Drosophila melanogaster: one gene and its partner. The protein of the gene in region 1 interacts with the protein of each later gene in a pairwise test. Each region holds a gene or a part of one and is shown in the gene's direction. Other genes may lie near its edges.

Evidence for each region.
Region 2: the proteins of Rab39 (region 1) and GCC88 interact in a two-hybrid assay, tested with the Drosophila melanogaster proteins (2 studies listed by BioGRID).

What each region holds. Positions count from the first base shown.
Region 1 is NC_004354.4:7,732,975-7,737,267, forward strand, and holds Rab39 (Rab39), read left to right. Parts: upstream 1-1,948; 5' UTR 1,949-2,253; coding exon 2,254-2,361; intron 2,362-2,789; coding exon 2,790-3,338; 3' UTR 3,339-3,782; downstream 3,783-4,293. Other genes in the region: Pdp (pyruvate dehydrogenase phosphatase), read right to left, coding at 14-515, 1,045-1,158.
Region 2 is NT_033777.3:11,227,514-11,232,336, reverse strand, and holds GCC88 (GRIP and coiled-coil domain containing 88 kDa), read left to right. Parts: upstream 1-1,736; 5' UTR 1,737-1,887; coding exon 1,888-1,969; intron 1,970-2,022; coding exon 2,023-3,847; intron 3,848-3,915; coding exon 3,916-4,096; 3' UTR 4,097-4,166; downstream 4,167-4,823. Other genes in the region: Dph3 (diphthamide biosynthesis 3), read right to left, coding at 69-143, 213-320; CG17187 (uncharacterized protein), read left to right, coding at 629-1,528; CG17726 (uncharacterized protein), read right to left, coding at 4,167-4,823.

The sequences.
Region 1 (4,293 bases):
ATACATCACCCACCAGAAAGGGCCACGTTCATGGTGCGTACATCGTTGCTGGTCAGAGCCTCCTGCGAGATCTCTTCATCCAGCTGGAGGAAGGCGTTCACCAGTTCACTGGATACATCCCGTTGCGGTGTCTCTAACAATTGATTGACATACTTGAGGAAACTAGCCTCGTACATGGGCTTGATCATGCTAACAAAGTCCACGTTGTCATTGTGGCACTTGAGGAACGACTGGCTGTCGGCACCCTGCTTCATCTGCTCCCGGAGCACCTGGCGCGGCAGCGTGGCCGCCGAAACATAGCGAAGCAGTCGCTTGGACACCACTTGGCCACATGCTGCTCCCGCATGCCCGTCGAAAATGCCACAAATGAAGCCGTTGCGGTGCAGGAAGCTGGCCTCCGTGCGGGAATCCTCGCAGGGCCAGTTTGATCCCAGCTGATTTGTTTCATAGCTGCGGATGACTCCATCCACGGGAAAGTTGTAAACGAACTCGTTCTCCCTCAGAACAAGGTTAACCTGTGAAAATAGTTTACATTAATACAGATTCTTACTCTTTATGTGGGAATTACAAAGGTTCCCATGGTAATAGTTATTAATCAGTTAATTCTTATTCGGTTCCTAAAAATTTTGTTCTTAAGCCGCTTGGTATGGACTCTTGTCCAGTGCAAACGATCAAATGAAATTAACTGCTCAGTAAAGGCATTATAAATGGTTGCTGTAGTTGAAATATGAATATGGAAAATCGAATACAGTCGGGTCGACGTCGTTCACTTTGTTTATAGGAAAACACTCGGGACTTTCTTGAAAGCCCTTGAAAGTAGTTATTGGATCTTCAGAAAATTATGCAGGCTTTATAGTTAAATTTTTAAACGGCTTAGGGATGTAATGCATAGATTTGTGGTTTCTAAAAGTAGCTTCAATAGGAAAAATCCAAAATAATTAATAAGTAAAGAAGTACTTTCGATCGAAGATCTTACAAACTGATTACATTTTACGAACCCTGCCCAGCTTGCTAATGACACTTGCCAGGAACCCCAAATCTTACATCGTATGGACTCAATTGAGGCAGTTGCGGCAGCAGACGCAGTGCATTCAAACTGAACTCCCGCACATTGGATCGCACGTAGCTGGCGGCGTCGTTCAGCACGAACTTGAACATCTATATGGAGATTTTGTATATGCTCTCGCCCCGCTGTGGCTATAATTAACGGTAATGATATTGGTTCCGTAACCAAATCGGGGGAGGAGTAGGCAAAGAAGATGGAGGAGAACGTGGTGGATTCCGTATCCCGGAGCCTCCGGCTGATTCACCGACTCCGGTTGCCGGTTGCTGACAAAGGGATCTTATTTTCCGCTGTTGCTTTTGATTGGCCGGCGGCTTGTTTGTACATTTGTGTGCTGTGAAATACGAAGCGGACGGTGTTCACGGAAAACAAACGTAAAAAGAAAATACAGTGCGTACTAGCGATGGGTTTTTCTCTGCACGAGACAGCCTAGAACGAAAATGAACACGCACGTCTTAATTTATGTGTCAAAGCACTGTACAAGGCCAAATCTTTTTGTGTAATTATTGTAAATTTATTAGCTTAATATGAAAGATTATTTTATTTTTTTTGTCATATTTTCTCAGAACAATTTAAACTAACTACATTTGTATGCATTCATCGTGTCACGCGAAATCGCGTTCTTTGACCATCTCTATTGGGCGGCGGTGCCAGACTGGCGGTGTTGCCATTAGCCGGTTACCGTTTTCAAGCCAAGTCTAGCTAGTTTTTGTGTACCGCCGAAAAATACATCTAAGCTTGTTAAAAAATCTGAAAACTGCCAAATTGATGTGAGGACACTATTTTTATTAAATAATTTAGAAGATATAACTGTTTAATAATGGTAATGAAATAATTTCATTGTGGCTACTATCGATTACTTTTGCTGGTCTGGCAACGTTGTCATTATCACACACACGCGCACGCATATGAGAAAAAAACACAAAACAAAACAAAATTCGAAGGAATTTGAATTCTCGAATATTTATAATTTAACAACCACCAGCGACAGCCGGAAATATCTCATTGCAAAGCCAGTAATCGTGTGAAGAACAGAAAGTTTCGATTTGCAATACAACTGCAGGAAATAAGAAGAAAAACGAGCAGCATAAGCAAATCAACGATTTGCGTATCAAACTTTACAAAGGGAAGGCAGATTTTTTGCTGCGGATTCAATTCCAAGAGACAAATCCCTCGAATTCGGCTTCGGAATGGTGGAACCCATTTTCGAGTATCAATTTCGACTGATTTTAATCGGCGACAGCACCGTGGGCAAGAGCTCGCTGCTCAAATTCTTCACAGACGGCAAATTCGCCGAGGTGCGTATGTCCAACGATTTTGGCCACTGTACTTGGACGCTTGGCCCACTGTGCGATCTTCGTGAGATGCAGTTAATGCGTTCATTACATAATTAAGTGATTGCATTGGGCGAGATACAACAAAAAATAGACAAAGGGAGTGGATTTTAAAAAGATGCTGCCTTAGTCACCTTGTCAGTGTGTGTGTGTGCTGGTGTGCATGTTTGTGTGCTCGCCTGATAATGCAGGCAGCAAAAACAACACACAAGTCCAAAATAGGACCAGGGATACTCAAATAACTGCGCGGGAAATTTAAAAACATAGAGATATCATGAATTGTGTGGAATCAAAAGTGTTCTCAAAAGCATTACAGCTCTAAACTGCGTTTCTTTTTACTGCCTCCCAAGAATCCACCTAATCATAAATAACACAATATTTACATTTTGCAGTTATCCGATCCCACAGTTGGCGTCGACTTCTTTGCCCGCCTCATCGAAATGAAGGACGGCACACAGATCAAGCTCCAGCTGTGGGACACTGCTGGCCAAGAGCGCTTCCGTTCGATCACCAAGTCCTACTACCGGAACTCGGTTGGCGTGCTGCTGGTCTACGACATATCGAATCACGCCAGCTTCGAGCACATACCGCTGTGGATGATGGAGGCACAGCGTCACATTGAGCCCCACCGCCCCGTTTTCGCATTGGTCGGCTGCAAACTGGACCTCATCAATGCGGGCGGACACCGGGAGGTGACCACAGAGGAGGCACAAAAATTTGCCAAACAGCACGGTCTGCATTTCGTTGAGACATCGGCCCGGTCTGGTGCCAATGTGGAGGAGGCATTTCGCATGGTCACCCAGGAGGTGTACGCCCGCATTCGATCCGGCGAATATAAGGCGGAGGATGGATGGGACGGCATCAAGTCTGGCTTTTCGCGACCCAATAGTCTGGACTTTAATCTCGTCGTAGCAGAGCCGGAAAAGTCATCATGTTGTTGATTCACCCCGACCTCATTGTCTATTATTTTCAATACTGTTTATGTACATTGATTTGTATCGTATGACCCACCAGTACTCCTTTTCCCCCCTAAACACCAATTTGTTGACTCTTTAATCTTGTTTAATCGTCTAGTTTAGCTAAAAAACCAAAACAGTTACGTATATTTACACAATGCGTTTTTTTTCTAATTACATATAGTTAATCGCTTTTAAGTTAATATTTAGTTCGGTGACTCACGGTAATTAGTGAAGATTGAGTTTGAACCCCTCTTTCCAAATTATGTTTACTTCGCCCCTATAATTGATAGCCAGTCACACGAGGTATACGTAGCCGAGATTCTGCGCTCCTAACTCATACAACACATAACTCCACATACACAAATACGAAAGGAAAAGCTATACATATACTTAAAACTTGAAATATAAACGTTTTTATTAATACGGACGGCATGCATTTGGTTAATCAAGGGTTAGCTTGGGCTTTGTTTTTGTCTAATCTAATCGATTTAGAGTTTTTATGCACATTTCTCCGCTTTGTTAAATCAAAGGAGTCTTGAAGCAATTGTCAAAAAAGCAACCTGTGTGATACACAAACGTTCGTAGCTGCACGGTTTCCAAAATTTACAATTTTACAATAAAAGAATTCGCGGCATATTTGGCGGCTGTTTACATATATGTGCTTTATTTCGTTTATTAAATTTTTCGCAAAGTTTAGTCCACTTGATAGATAACCCAAAACTTAGCTGCGACGATTTCTATTGTTGTTTTACACCTTCGTAGTTGTGCTCAATCAATCTAGATTTTGTTGGAAATTTCCATAAATATTGGTGGCCTCATCGGTCTGGCAACAACAGGTAATTCCTTTAATTCTTTAATCATTACTTGTTTCTTAGTAGTGCAAATTAAATAATGTAATGTAAAGAAGTTGGAAAAATCTTTTTCAAATTTGTTCGCG
Region 2 (4,823 bases), on another chromosome or scaffold:
AATTCGGAAAATCAGATTGCTTGAGTTTTCTGGGGAGTTCTAGGTGTATTTCTGAATGAGTCACTTACCGGATCGTATATGACCTTGATGACTAGGGAGCAGCTGGGACAGGTGGCCACCTCCTCGCCCTCGATTAGCTCCTCCTAAAGTGGAAATTTACCAAGTGATATGGGGAGTCCAGAAAAAAAAAGGTTGCGTATACGACTCGTTACCTTGGAGATCTGAAATCGATCGCCGCATGGACAGGGATAGTAGTACATCTCCTCCTCCTCGTCGTACTCGAAGTCCTCGATCTCCACCTCGTCGTGATAGATGCTCATGACGTACCTTCAGCTTAATTCAGCGCCTAAAGGTCATATTATATTTGAGTTTTTTTTGCGATAACTTAGATTAATCCACGCCAAACAAATGGGCACGTTGTGTTGCGGGGCTGCCAACTCGTTGCAGCGAACAGCTGATCCAGTAAACAATTGCAAATGTTTTATTTGGACATTTTTGGACCGCCGGCTGCAGTTGTGAAATAAGTCTCGTATAAAATAGTATATTTTAGCTAACTTTTGCCCAAAAAAGACAAACTGCAAAACAAACCCATGTTCCAGTTGTTGAATAAGGAGTAAAATAAGACTAAATGGCTAGCAAAAAGTACAGTGACGTGAATCTTTACGATCTTCTGGGCATTTCTCTCGAGTCTGATCAAAATGAGATACGCAAGGCGTACCGCAAGAAGGCCCTCGAGTGCCATCCCGACAAGAATCCGGACAATCCGAAGGCAGTCGAGCGCTTCCATGAGTTGTCCAAGGCTCTGGAGATCCTCACGGATGAATCCGCGCGCGCAGCTTATGACAAAGTGCTGAAGGCCAAGAAGGCGGCGGAGCTGAGGAGTCGCCAACTGGACGGGAAGCGGCAGAAGCTGAAGCTGGAACTGGAGGAACGTGAACGGGCGGCACTGCACAAACTGGCGAAGAGCCAACCCTACAGCACGGTGGCCAAAAGCGACGAGGAGGTGCTGCATGAGCAGATCGAGCGGTTGCGACGCGAGGGCTCCCGTCTGCTGGAGGAGGAGCAGCGAGCCATGCAGGAGCAGTTCCGGCGGAATCACGCGGAGCAACAGAAACTGCAGCAACAGCCGGTCCAGTTTGATTCCGCCCAGCATCGCATCAAGATGAAGTGGAAGGCCGAACCTGGCCAGGATTACACACAGCAAGAGCTGCTCAAGTATCTGAAGAAGTACGGCGACGTGGTGGCCCTGGTGGTCAACAGCAAGCGACGCGGACGCGCCATGGTGGAGCTGGCCACGCGCGAAGCCTGCGACATGGTCTTGGCCTACGAAAAAGGCGATCCCGCCAAGCCGCTGCACTTCGAGTGGGTAACGCCGCCGGCGGCAGACAAGCAGACAACCAAATCGGCCACCACTGGGTGCAGTGCGTCATCCACCGACTACGAGGACCTGGTCATGCGAAAGCTGCGCCAAGCTGAGGAACGTAAGAGACTCATTGAGCAGATGATGAAGGACGAGGAGGGCGAATGAAATAAGATTTAGTTAGGCTCAACATTTAATTTACTTTAATTGGACTAATATTAATGTTTGAAAATATCTCAATTTAGCAACTATGCAGCTGATTTATAATACATTTACATTTAAAATAGTTTTTAATTTATGTAAATTTGGTTATTAATTATTTTTTGAAAAACCGCAAAAATAAAAAAAAGTTTAAATCAGAATGATGGCAATTTTTAGTGCCTGAGCAAACATGACAAGTTGGCAGGCCCGCGTGCCAGCTGCTGAAATTTGTTAATTAAAAGAAATGCAAAAATGACACGGGAGATAAATAAATTGAACTACTAAGCGAACTGAAAGTAAATGAACTAATTCCCTTTCAAGGCGAAATGGAGAAGCGACAGAGGGAGCTGGAGGCGCTGGTGTCCACCCAAAAGGAGCAACTGGGGCGCTATGAAAAGCGTCTAAAAGGTGAGACATAGATGAATTCGCAATGCAAATGGATTAATGAGCCCAATTTGTAGACGTGGTCACTGCCTACAAGGGTCTGCTTAAGGAGAAGGAGGCATTGGAGACGAGTCTGGCGGCGCATGCGGAGGCCACGGCGGTGGGCGAGTCCGGATCGCCGGCCAGGGAGTTGGAGTCCAAAAAAACCAGCACCGACTCTGCGGATGGAGCAACCGAGGGCGCTGCACCGGGTCCGCCTGCTCCCCCGGCCGAGGGTCAACTGCAGACCCAAATTATCACCCTGATGAACTCGCTGGCCACTCTTTCCGCTGAGAAATCCCGCATGGAGGCCTCCTTTCAGGCGGATAAAAAGCAACTGCGCAGCCAAATCGCCCAAAAGGAGCAGACCATTCAGGAGCTTAATACCCGGGCCAAGGAGCAGGCTGCTCGGGCCAAAAGCGACGTGGACGAGATCAAGGCCAAGTGGATCGTGGAGCGACAGGAGCGCGAGAAAGAGACCAACAACCAAATGCTCATGATCCGCGAACTGCAGAAACTCTATGCGGACGAGCGGCATCTAAAGGACAACATTGAGATGCAGTTAAACAACTTCAAGACCCAGTTCGCCAGCAACGAGGCAGAGAATAGCCGGCTACGGGAATTGCAATCCCAGCTAAAGGAGGCTCGCTCCCAGCTGAAACAGTTCCAGGCCAAGACCGAGCACTCTGCAGCAGCGTCAGCGAGTGCGGACAGCGCCGCTCTCCTTCAGCAAGTGCGCCTTGAGATGCAGCAACTGAAGGAGCAGCATGCAGTGGCCATTCGTCAGGAACAGCGTCGCGTGCTGCGTGCCGAGGAACAGAGTCGCAGGCAGGCGGCGCTGCACGAGGATCGCGTGGCCAGTCTAGAGGCACGCCTGGCGGAGCTCAGCACCACTGTCGGCAGCTACGACCGCCTGCGTCAGCAAGATCAGGACAGCATCCATGATTTGAAGCAGCAGCTGCAGGATCTAGAGCAGGCACATGTGCGTCCAACATCCAATTCAAGGGCGCTAAACGAAGATGTGGACGTAGCCACGCTGGTTGACGAGATGGTGCGCTTGAAGAAACTGCTTACCACAGCCAATGCCCGTTCTGCCAATCCACTGGATCTCGGGGAGATCCTATCATTTAGCGGCCAAACAGCTACCCGAGTCGAGAGTCACGCCCACTGCGAGCAACAGCTTCAGGGTGTGCAGCAAATGCTCGAGGCATCCAAGCAGCAGCGACAGCTACTCGAACAGAAGGTGCAGCTGCAGCACTCGCACATCCAAACGCTGCAGGAGAAGGTGCAGGTGCTCAATCGCAACATCGACGAGGCGGAAGTCGAACTAAAGCAGCAGGGCGAAAAGCTGCGCCTGGCATTGAAGAACGAACGAACCAAGTGGCAGGAAGCCAAGGCTGAACTGGAGAACGAGACGCGCTGCAAACTGAACGAGCTGGAACAGCTACTGCAGAAGCAGCGCCAGAGGTCACTGCAGCTGCTGGATGAGAAGGAGCAGGAGATTAAGACACTGCAGACCTCCTTCGAGGTCTTTCACTCGGCCAGCGGTGTGGGCAGCACACTGGCCACACCCACACTTGAAGCAGCTGCCGATTCCTTTCACTATTCCTCCGACACCGACAGCGTGGAGGGGGAGCAGCGGGAAAGAAAGCTAAAGGTGCGCTCCAAGAAAATGTCGATGGGCGAGAACTGCCACATGCTGCACTATGCCAACGAGTTGGCGCGCAAGGACATCGAAATCACGACACTGCGGAAAGCCAAATACGCCGCCGAGTCGACGCTGCGAAAGGCGATCCAGGACAAGGTGACATCTCAGCAGGAAATGCACGAGAAGATCGAGTGCCTCAAGGAGCAGGTGGACAGGTGCGTCGTTGTCGTTGTTATCGTTGTTGTCTTAGAAAGTCATGCCACGATCTCTACTCCCATTCTAGACTCGAACGTTGCAAGACGCGCGAGGGTGCCAATCTGGAGTACCTGAAGAACGTTATTATCAGCTACATTGTTACCCGGGACGCGGACGGCAAGCGTCACATGCTGAACGCCATCTCGGCGGTGCTCCAGTTCACCGCCGCAGAGATGCAGGCGATCAATGCATCATTCCAGAAGAAATAACATTCGTACTTTTGTTCAACAATCATGTGCAACATATTTAAAACCCTACAAACAGATCCTAAATAGATAACTAACTAAATCCGACGACTGGGTATTTGTCTAGGTGGGCAGCTAGCACGCCGGGAAACATGGCCAGGAACTTAAAGCGAGTGCCCATCTGGGCTGGATCCGTGAGCATCTCGTAGCCGGAGCGAATGATCTCCTGGTTTTCGGGCAGCGCATGTGCCAACAGTTGCTCCAGTCGAGCCTCACCCTGCATTCGCTGCAGGAACAGTCCCTGCTCCACGGGACCGCAGCAGTGGACATTTCCGCGTGTCTCGGCAATGTGCCGCACTAGCTTGAAGTCCACATCGGCCGTGAGATCAGCACTGCCCGGCTCCACCAGCGGATCGTGCAGCTTGTGCTGCTTGAAGGCCCGGAAAGTGTCGGTTTTCTCGCCAAAATGGCCATAATCCATGATTAGAGCGATGCCGCCATCCCGTTCGATGCGCTCGGCGAGCAGTCCCACCTGTCGTTCCGTCTCCAGGGAGTGCTCCAAACAGGATCGTGTCTCGCCGGGCAGCGGTCGATAAAGACTCGAAACGGGTGTTTGGCTACGTGAGAGCACATATCGGAAGCTAGCTTCTTGTGCGCCATCAGAGGATGCCACATCGATGAGCACCTCCTGCCACTTGCCATCTACGAGTTGGAGCTTGTGCACAGGCAGGGCGTCGAAGAACTCGTGGGC